2 linked regions of the Arabidopsis thaliana genome follow. The protein of the gene in region 1 purifies or fractionates together with the protein of each later gene. This does not show direct contact. Each region holds a gene or a part of one and is shown on either strand. Other genes may lie near its edges.

The links.
Region 2: the proteins of CER7 (region 1) and RRP4 fractionate together in Arabidopsis thaliana (co-fractionation; one large-scale study listed by BioGRID). This does not show direct contact.

Annotation. Positions count from the first base shown.
Region 1 is NC_003074.8:22,352,021-22,355,772, reverse strand, and holds the start of CER7 (3'-5'-exoribonuclease family protein), read right to left. Parts: upstream 1,874-3,752; 5' UTR 1,657-1,873; intron 1,549-1,656; exon of another isoform or gene 1,532-1,548; 5' UTR 1,529-1,531; coding exon 1,392-1,528; intron 1,168-1,391; coding exon 958-1,167; intron 861-957; coding exon 765-860; intron 675-764; coding exon 560-674; intron 456-559; coding exon 375-455; intron 285-374; coding exon 96-284; intron 6-95; coding exon 1-5. UniProt on the Arabidopsis thaliana protein: Probable 3'->5' exoribonuclease involved in the regulation of cuticular wax biosynthesis by controlling the expression of CER3. May act by degrading a specific mRNA species encoding a negative regulator of CER3 transcription.
Region 2 is NC_003070.9:822,758-826,509, forward strand, and holds RRP4 (ribosomal RNA processing 4), read left to right. Parts: upstream 1-1,759; 5' UTR 1,760-1,895; coding exon 1,896-2,056; intron 2,057-2,133; coding exon 2,134-2,235; intron 2,236-2,344; coding exon 2,345-2,390; intron 2,391-2,495; coding exon 2,496-2,585; intron 2,586-2,664; coding exon 2,665-2,730; intron 2,731-2,829; coding exon 2,830-2,898; intron 2,899-2,987; coding exon 2,988-3,422; 3' UTR 3,423-3,642; downstream 3,643-3,752. Other genes in the region: AT1G03350 (BSD domain-containing protein), read right to left, coding at 77-1,489. UniProt on the Arabidopsis thaliana protein: Non-catalytic component of the RNA exosome complex which has 3'->5' exoribonuclease activity and participates in a multitude of cellular RNA processing, maturation and degradation events.

The sequences.
Region 1 (3,752 bases):
TCAACCTACACCATGAAAACAAAGCACAACAAACTATGAGTTGTTGAATATTTTTGGATTCAAAAGAAATATGCTTTGGATTTCAGAAACCTTACTTCTTCTCTAATGATCTTTGTTGTTGCAGCAGCTCTTGAAGAAGCAAGACGCAGGCAATGAAGGATTACACTCTGGTTCACGCCTTCTTCCCCCGGTTTTTGGATTGCGCATATATCGCCATTGGCATTAACTGTCACAGTCATTCTCCCACACATAACTGCTTCTTCAACATAAGTTGGGTCCATCACCTGCATATAACAACACATCACACTTTATATCTCAGAAAAGAAAAAAGAAAAAGCAAACTAGACTCTCACTAAAAATACAACTGTTTTTACCACAATGTTGCCTTTATTAAAAAATCCAAACGTGAAGGCTATTGGGAGATGATGTATTATCAATGGAAGTGGTTCCCTTTCCTGCAAAAGAAAGTAAAGATAGAACAAACAGTTAAAGTTAAGAACTGTCTTCTCCACTTAACAAATTCTTACAAGTTTCTCTAAACCGAAAACATATGACTAACCTCTAGTGGATGTATGATCACTTCTTGACCATTCTCTCCTCCTACAGTGCAGTCGGGTCTCCTAAATGTCATGAGAGCTGCTAAAGCAGCAATATTTGCAGCATCAACTAAGTTCCTATACATAAATGTGTAACAAAAACACGCATTAAAGATCATTTTAAAACCAGAACCTTCAATGAGATATACTGTAGCCAACAAAACTTACCCTCCATTGTCCAAGATATGAAGGTCAATGCGAACAGACCAAACCATCTTTCCAGCTAGAACGCAGAGTGACTCTGTATCTACTGCACGGCTTTCTCTGCAATCAACACAAAGACCAACTTACCATTACTCCAACCAGAACAGCCAGCAATACTCTTGCAGCATCAACAAAGTTTGTCCAAAAAAACATTTACCTTAGACCACGATCGATAATGCGTCCCAACTCCACTGCAGATTCGCCAGGACGACCAGGCTCAAAAGACGGATCAGCCATTGGAGAAAATTCCGTGAAGATCGAGAGAGACCCTTCATTAGGTCTGTCTTTGTAAGGTTGTACCAACTGAGCAGTCACGAAACCCATTACATGAGTCTGACCAAGTTGAACTTCCGAGCTACCATATTCTCTGTTAATTCAAACGAGATTAAAAGCTGTCTTTGGTTACAAACACTAAAAGAAAAGCATGCTAGTATTCGTTCTAACAGAGGTAATAGACTGAACAAAGTTATCTACATTCAAATTTATCACAAAACTCGACAAAGAGGGAAGCTTTAGAGCTAAAGAAAGCAAACAAAGCCTACAAAGTGCAGAAAAGAAACGGCATCAATAAGCAGTTCTATGAGCACTTACTTGCCAAACTTAATAGTAAGCTTGCGATAATCATAAAGGCCACGACCATCTACTCTGAGCTCAGATTGCAACGCAGTTTCCACGAATTTACTTTCGTTAACAGTCAACCTCCACATATTAGCCAATCTCCCCTCCATTATCTGCTATCACTAGTAAACTAAAAATCAAAACTTTGAGCAACCCTTACAGCAAATCAAACACTCTAATCGATAGAAAACCTTCTCTTAGGCTTAGAATCAACTCTGTAAATTAAACCAAAACGTACCTACTGGAGAAAAGAGATGAGAAGAGACACTTGGACTTTCTTCTTTCTTTTATTGTACTTCACCTCCGGCTAACTACGAAGGAGCTCCAAAGATTTTAGGGAGAGGCGGCAAAATCGCACAGATGTTTTTTTCTATCTATCTCTCGGCCTTAACAACAGTAAATGTAAACACGGCGGCGATTCAGAGAAAGCTTGGTGATGGGAAAACACAGGTTTCGGAAAAATTCGAGAGGGTGAATAACTAAAAACGCTGTCGTTCTGGATCAACAAACACCGGCGTCGTTTCAGCTGTTACCGACGTCGTTTCATATATTATTTGTTATTTGACAAAAAAAATTATAATGGATATAAGCCCATGGGCTTACAGACATTATCTTGATGCTTTTTGGGCTACTAACTTCAAAGGGAAAAACGTCAATGAGTTTTTTATTTTATCTTTTTGGTGTAAATGTTAAGAAAGTCAATGAGTAGTATGTTGAACTTTTTAATATCTCAGCAATTGTTGTTTCAGCTTGGAAAGATTAACTTTGACGCACATGTTTGCTTACTTACTGATAAATTGTATTTTAGATTTAGAATATTCAACAAGCCAGTACAGTTTTCAGAATCTTTCCCACAAAATCCTCAAGAATTGAAGATCATGCATGTACACTTACTAGATTTGTATTGCTTGTACGTATTTTATCCTACTTGTTCCAGCAGCACCACTCAAATATATCGTTTTCTGTACTTTCTTCAACATTTGGACTAATTAAGACTTTAAACGATTATTTATTAACAATGAGAGAATTTTGAGCAAGCTTTCAATCCTTCGATCTCTATTTCAAGAATCATCAGCTATTTAAAGTCTTCAACGAGAACTATATTTCTAAAGAAACTATCAAGCGTAAAAGTCTGTTATGAGCAGCCAAAAAAAGTTTACAGATTCCGCGAGATGCCTTGCCTCTTGTGGATCTTTTCGTCACCATGTCTTGGTTTAAGTCACTTAATTAGTGTCTCTTCTTAAGTTCCGTCCTCTTTCCTAAACTTGGAACCACATCGAATTCTTTAAAAAGAGAAAAGAAAAAAAAAACTGCTTATTTGGTAAGGGTCAAGAAGATATGGTTGTATCTTTATGATCATCTTAATTTGGATTGTTTACTATTACTTAATTATGAACAAGAAACATGTTGGGATGAATCTAGAAACTGATAGAACCATGTTTATGTTTGCTTCACGCACACACAAACTACATCATGTAGTCTACATGAACGAGCCGGAGACAGCTTAAATCTTTGATATTGTTTGCCCAATTTTTTTTTAAATTTTGAAATTACATTATAAGTAACTCTCTTAACTTATTTGAATGAAATTAGTTAAGGTTTACTTTCATTATTTCCGATTGGTTTTCAATTGTACGTTTCGCTAATTTTGGTATAACAATTTCAGCTTTCCCCACATGCTCTCCAAATTTCCTTCTTCTTTTTTTCATTTCTTTTGATTGAGATGTAAGAAAAAATGTTTAGTAAGAGTGAACAATATGAATCTCCATTGTTTTCTTCTTCTGCTGTTGCTTTCATTTTTCTTCTTTCTGTTTGCTTATTTTTTCTTTTCCCCCACTTTATTCCAAAGATAAAGATCGCATGTTTTAATATATATATATATATATATATATATACACTTTTATTTTAATTATGTTTTATTTGATAAATTAATTATGTGTACAATTATACTTGGACTAGTCTATGTGCATAATGGAAGGCGCCAAAAGAAGAATTCAGCTCCTTGTAATTTGTAAGCTTTTAATTTATAGTATTGTCCAAAGTCTAAAGGTATTCGTGTGGAAACGGATATGGATATTGTAATGTATCAGCAATAATCATAATCATTTCCCCCAAAAATGAAAAAAAAAATACAAAAGATTAGGTAAGTGTGGGAGCTAAGTATATTACTCACGGCTGAGGAACCCATTATAAAAAAGGATATATATCTATTAATTACTTAGATAAGAATAGTATAAAAAGATTGGCTGCTATCAAGTAGATACTCATGCCACCACTAAACCAATGAAAAAAAGAAGACTCTTTATGTCTTCCTGTTAATTTCTATGGAGGCTC
Region 2 (3,752 bases), on another chromosome or scaffold:
GCAAAGCGCCAGAAACTTGTAAAAACAAGTAAAAGGATTGGCAAAAGTAAGAAAGCACACCACTTTAAAACTAACATTAAGCTTTGGATGATGATGATTCTTCTTCGTCATCTTCATCAATGTCCCAACTTAAATCTTCATCTTCCTCTGCAGCACTCAGACGTTTACGCAGCTCAGCTCTGTTTGGACTACCACCAGACCGACTCGTTTCCTTACCATCTATGCTACTCATATCCTCGATCTCGTCCCATCCCAAATCCTCTTCAGATGGTTGTTGAGTTGATGAAGAAGCAGCCACATCTGGTTTAGCTGAGTCTTGGGATGGAGCAGCCTCATCAGATTTTGGTTTGACAGAATCTTGGATTGGAGCCTCATCAGATGTTGGTTTGACAGAATCTTGGATTGGAGCCTCATCAGACGCAGGAGGAGCAGCATCAACAAATGATTTTTCTTCTGGAACTTCCTCACTATCAGTCTCCTTCTTTTCCTCAGAATCTTTATCTGTCTTCAAACCAACATTGCTCACTTCAGTCACTGAATCTGCACTTGTCACTTCATCTTGCGTGCTCACTTTAGCCACTGAATATGTACTTTCCACTTCATCTTTCACAGTTTCACTCACATCTCCACCACCCATACCATCATTCCCTTCAAGTTTCAACCTTGAAACATCTTTGGTAGCTTCAACAACTTTCTCGCTGCTCTCCTCTTCATCATCAATATCCCAGCTCAATTCTTCTTCATCATCCAGAGAGATGGCTCGTTTCACAAGATTAGCCCTTAAATCCTCAGCTTGCTTGAGCTTGTTAACCCTATAGAAATACCTAAACCAGAAGGTCTCGTGATCAACCATACTCGGAACGACCCTTTTATACACTCCTTTCATATCACCATTTTCCTCCAACAATTTCTCCATCTCCTCAGCTTTTCCATCCAGAGAAAACGCAGATTCCCACTTTTTGTAATCATCTGAATCCTCAGGCTCTTCACAGTAAGTGTTGAGATCTCCTTGAACAGCACGAATCTGAGCATCGAAACGACTATATGGTTTCGAACTGAAGCTATCACGACGACCAAAACTCTGACTACTATTGTTATCAGAAGAATCAGATTCATTACCAGCGGCTAAAATCGCTTCCTTACCTTGAGCAATAATCTCAGCCGTACCTTTTAGCACCGTGTTCCCAAGCTCATCAATCGCATGTCCCACCGTACCAAGCGATCCCTGAGCCACCTCGATCTCTTTCTTCAAACCTGTGCCAAATTCTTCGAGATCTCGTCGGTAGGTTTCAATCACGGATTCGGATCTGGTGGCTAGAGTTTTCATCAGACCACCGAAGCTCCATCCACCGTCGTCGTTAGATTCAGATTGCTCTGGATGTTCTTGCTCTGGATGTTCATGCTCTTCGCTGTGTTTCGGTGAATCGGATTCGGATTCGGTTTCTGGAGGATCTAGGTCTTCCGTGAAGACGGATTTGAAGAAATTCATAGCGTAAAGCTCAGATCTTACCAATCGGTACTCTCAGATAATTTGTTTGATCCGTGAAAGAATCAATTTGAAGAGTGAAGGATTCGAATTAGCGTCAGAAATAGGAAGATCACAAAAGACTTGAAGCTTGTCGCTGCAGAGACGTCTAATTTTTTTCCCATTTTTTTAATGAAGATAAATAATACTTTATTTGGCGTCAATTATCAGATTAATGGGCCAGAAGTTTTATAAATGGGCCAGAAGTTGGATATGTTAGTCCAACAAATAACACAAAACCCTAGAATTCATTCAAGGGAACTAACGTCAAGGTTTTTGCTCTTCTTCTCTCCCAAGTCCCAAACTCGTTTTGCATCGCCATTGTTGTGTTGCTGGAGCTAAATAGAGAGAAAGAGAGAGAGTGTCTGTGATGGTGATGAGAAAGCTACAGTTACCGTTGAGCCAGACGCAGAAGGTTAGGTTTGAGAGAGCAATCGAGCGGCTTCAATCACTGTCGTCGTCGGCTAACTCTGACGCTTCTGTTATCGTCACCGACTCTATTCCCGTCAACCATGACGATGCCTTCCTCAAGTAATTTCATCTCATTCTCCCTTCTGGATTGAAATTTTTGTCAAATTGCGTTTTCACGATTGGTTTTTTCATTAAAGGGGACATGGAACTTCCGAGGTCGATGGTGAGTTGCTCGCGACGGTCTGTGGAGTAGTGGAGCGTGTGGATAAGCTTGTCTATGTACGCACCTTGCGAGCCAGGTCTGTGATTGATCTTTGAATTTGTTTAGTTTCCCAGAAAATGTGAATAGAATGGACTCTCTACTCTGAGATTAAGTAGAACTGATGGTTTTGATGATCTACGTTTTAGGTACAAGCCTGAAGTTGGGGATATTGTGGTAGGCCGTGTCATTGAGGTAGATTTTTGTTTTGGTGTTTGGATTTTTGAAATCGGATTGAGTGAGTAACATAAAGGTTTCAATCACATTGCACAGTTACTGGATTGATCTTTACTTATTCAGGTTGCTCAAAAACGTTGGAGAGTGGAGCTCAACTTCAATCAGGATGGAGTACTGATGCTTTCTTCCATGAACATGCCTGATGGTATTCAGGTACAGTTTGATTCTTGATATTTTGCCATTTGGATGATTGCTTTTGGCTTCAATGATATAAGTTTATTGTTGTTGCCAGAGGCGAAGAACCTCTGTGGATGAACTCAATATGCGGAATATCTTTGTAGAGCATGATGTCGTATGTGTAAGTCCTGTGATTAGTAATGTTCCAATCTTTACATATCTTAACAGTTACGTCAACCTGACTAAAAGGGTTCCCTCTTTGGTTTGTTCAAACTCTTAGGCTGAAGTACGCAACTTTCAGCATGATGGTAGCTTGCAGTTACAAGCCAGAAGTCAGAAGTATGGCAAGGTTGGTTCTCATTTGGTCACATGCTCATGTAGTTATACCTTTCGCTAGTCTCTTCCTCTGAACATTGATTAATCCATGAATCGCTACAGCTCGAGAAGGGACAACTTCTGAAGGTCGATCCTTACTTGGTTAAGAGAAGCAAACATCACTTTCATTACGTAGAAAGTCTTGGGATTGATTTGATTATTGGCTGCAATGGTTTCATATGGGTTGGAGAACATGTCGAAGTGAGAGATCCTATGGCAATAGATGATCAGAAAGATGAGGAAATGATCTCATCCTCCTCCACAGGAAAAGAGCAAAGCCATATTCCACTCGAGACTCGACAAACCATATGCAGAATCGGGAATGCGATACGTGTCTTGTCTAATCTAGGCTTCACCGTGACACTAGAAGTAATCATGGAGACTGTTAACCTCAGTAACTCAAAGAATATTGACATACATGATATGCTTGGATCAGAGTTTCACGTTGTGGTAGCAGAGAATGAAGCTGAAAGAAGACGTACAAAGAGGAAAAAGTGAAAACTACCCCTTTTTGTCACTGATGTATCAGAGACTTGTAACGTGTATTAGATCATTCGGTCTTGTTTGTTACTCAGCTTCTATTGAAAGTTCGAATTTTAATCTGATTGAGATATGTAGTATGATGGATGTGTTTGATACTATTAACTGTACATCAGATTAGATTAGTCGAGTTATGTCTTTTGGAGACGGCTTTCTTCTTTCATTCATGAATTTATCGGTTTCGACTTTTGTAGCTGAAATTCGTTTTGTGAAAGGATCTACAGTTGCAGAAACAACATAGAAAAGATTCGCTGCCCTTTTTAGCTCGGAGAAGGGATAATTGGGAAA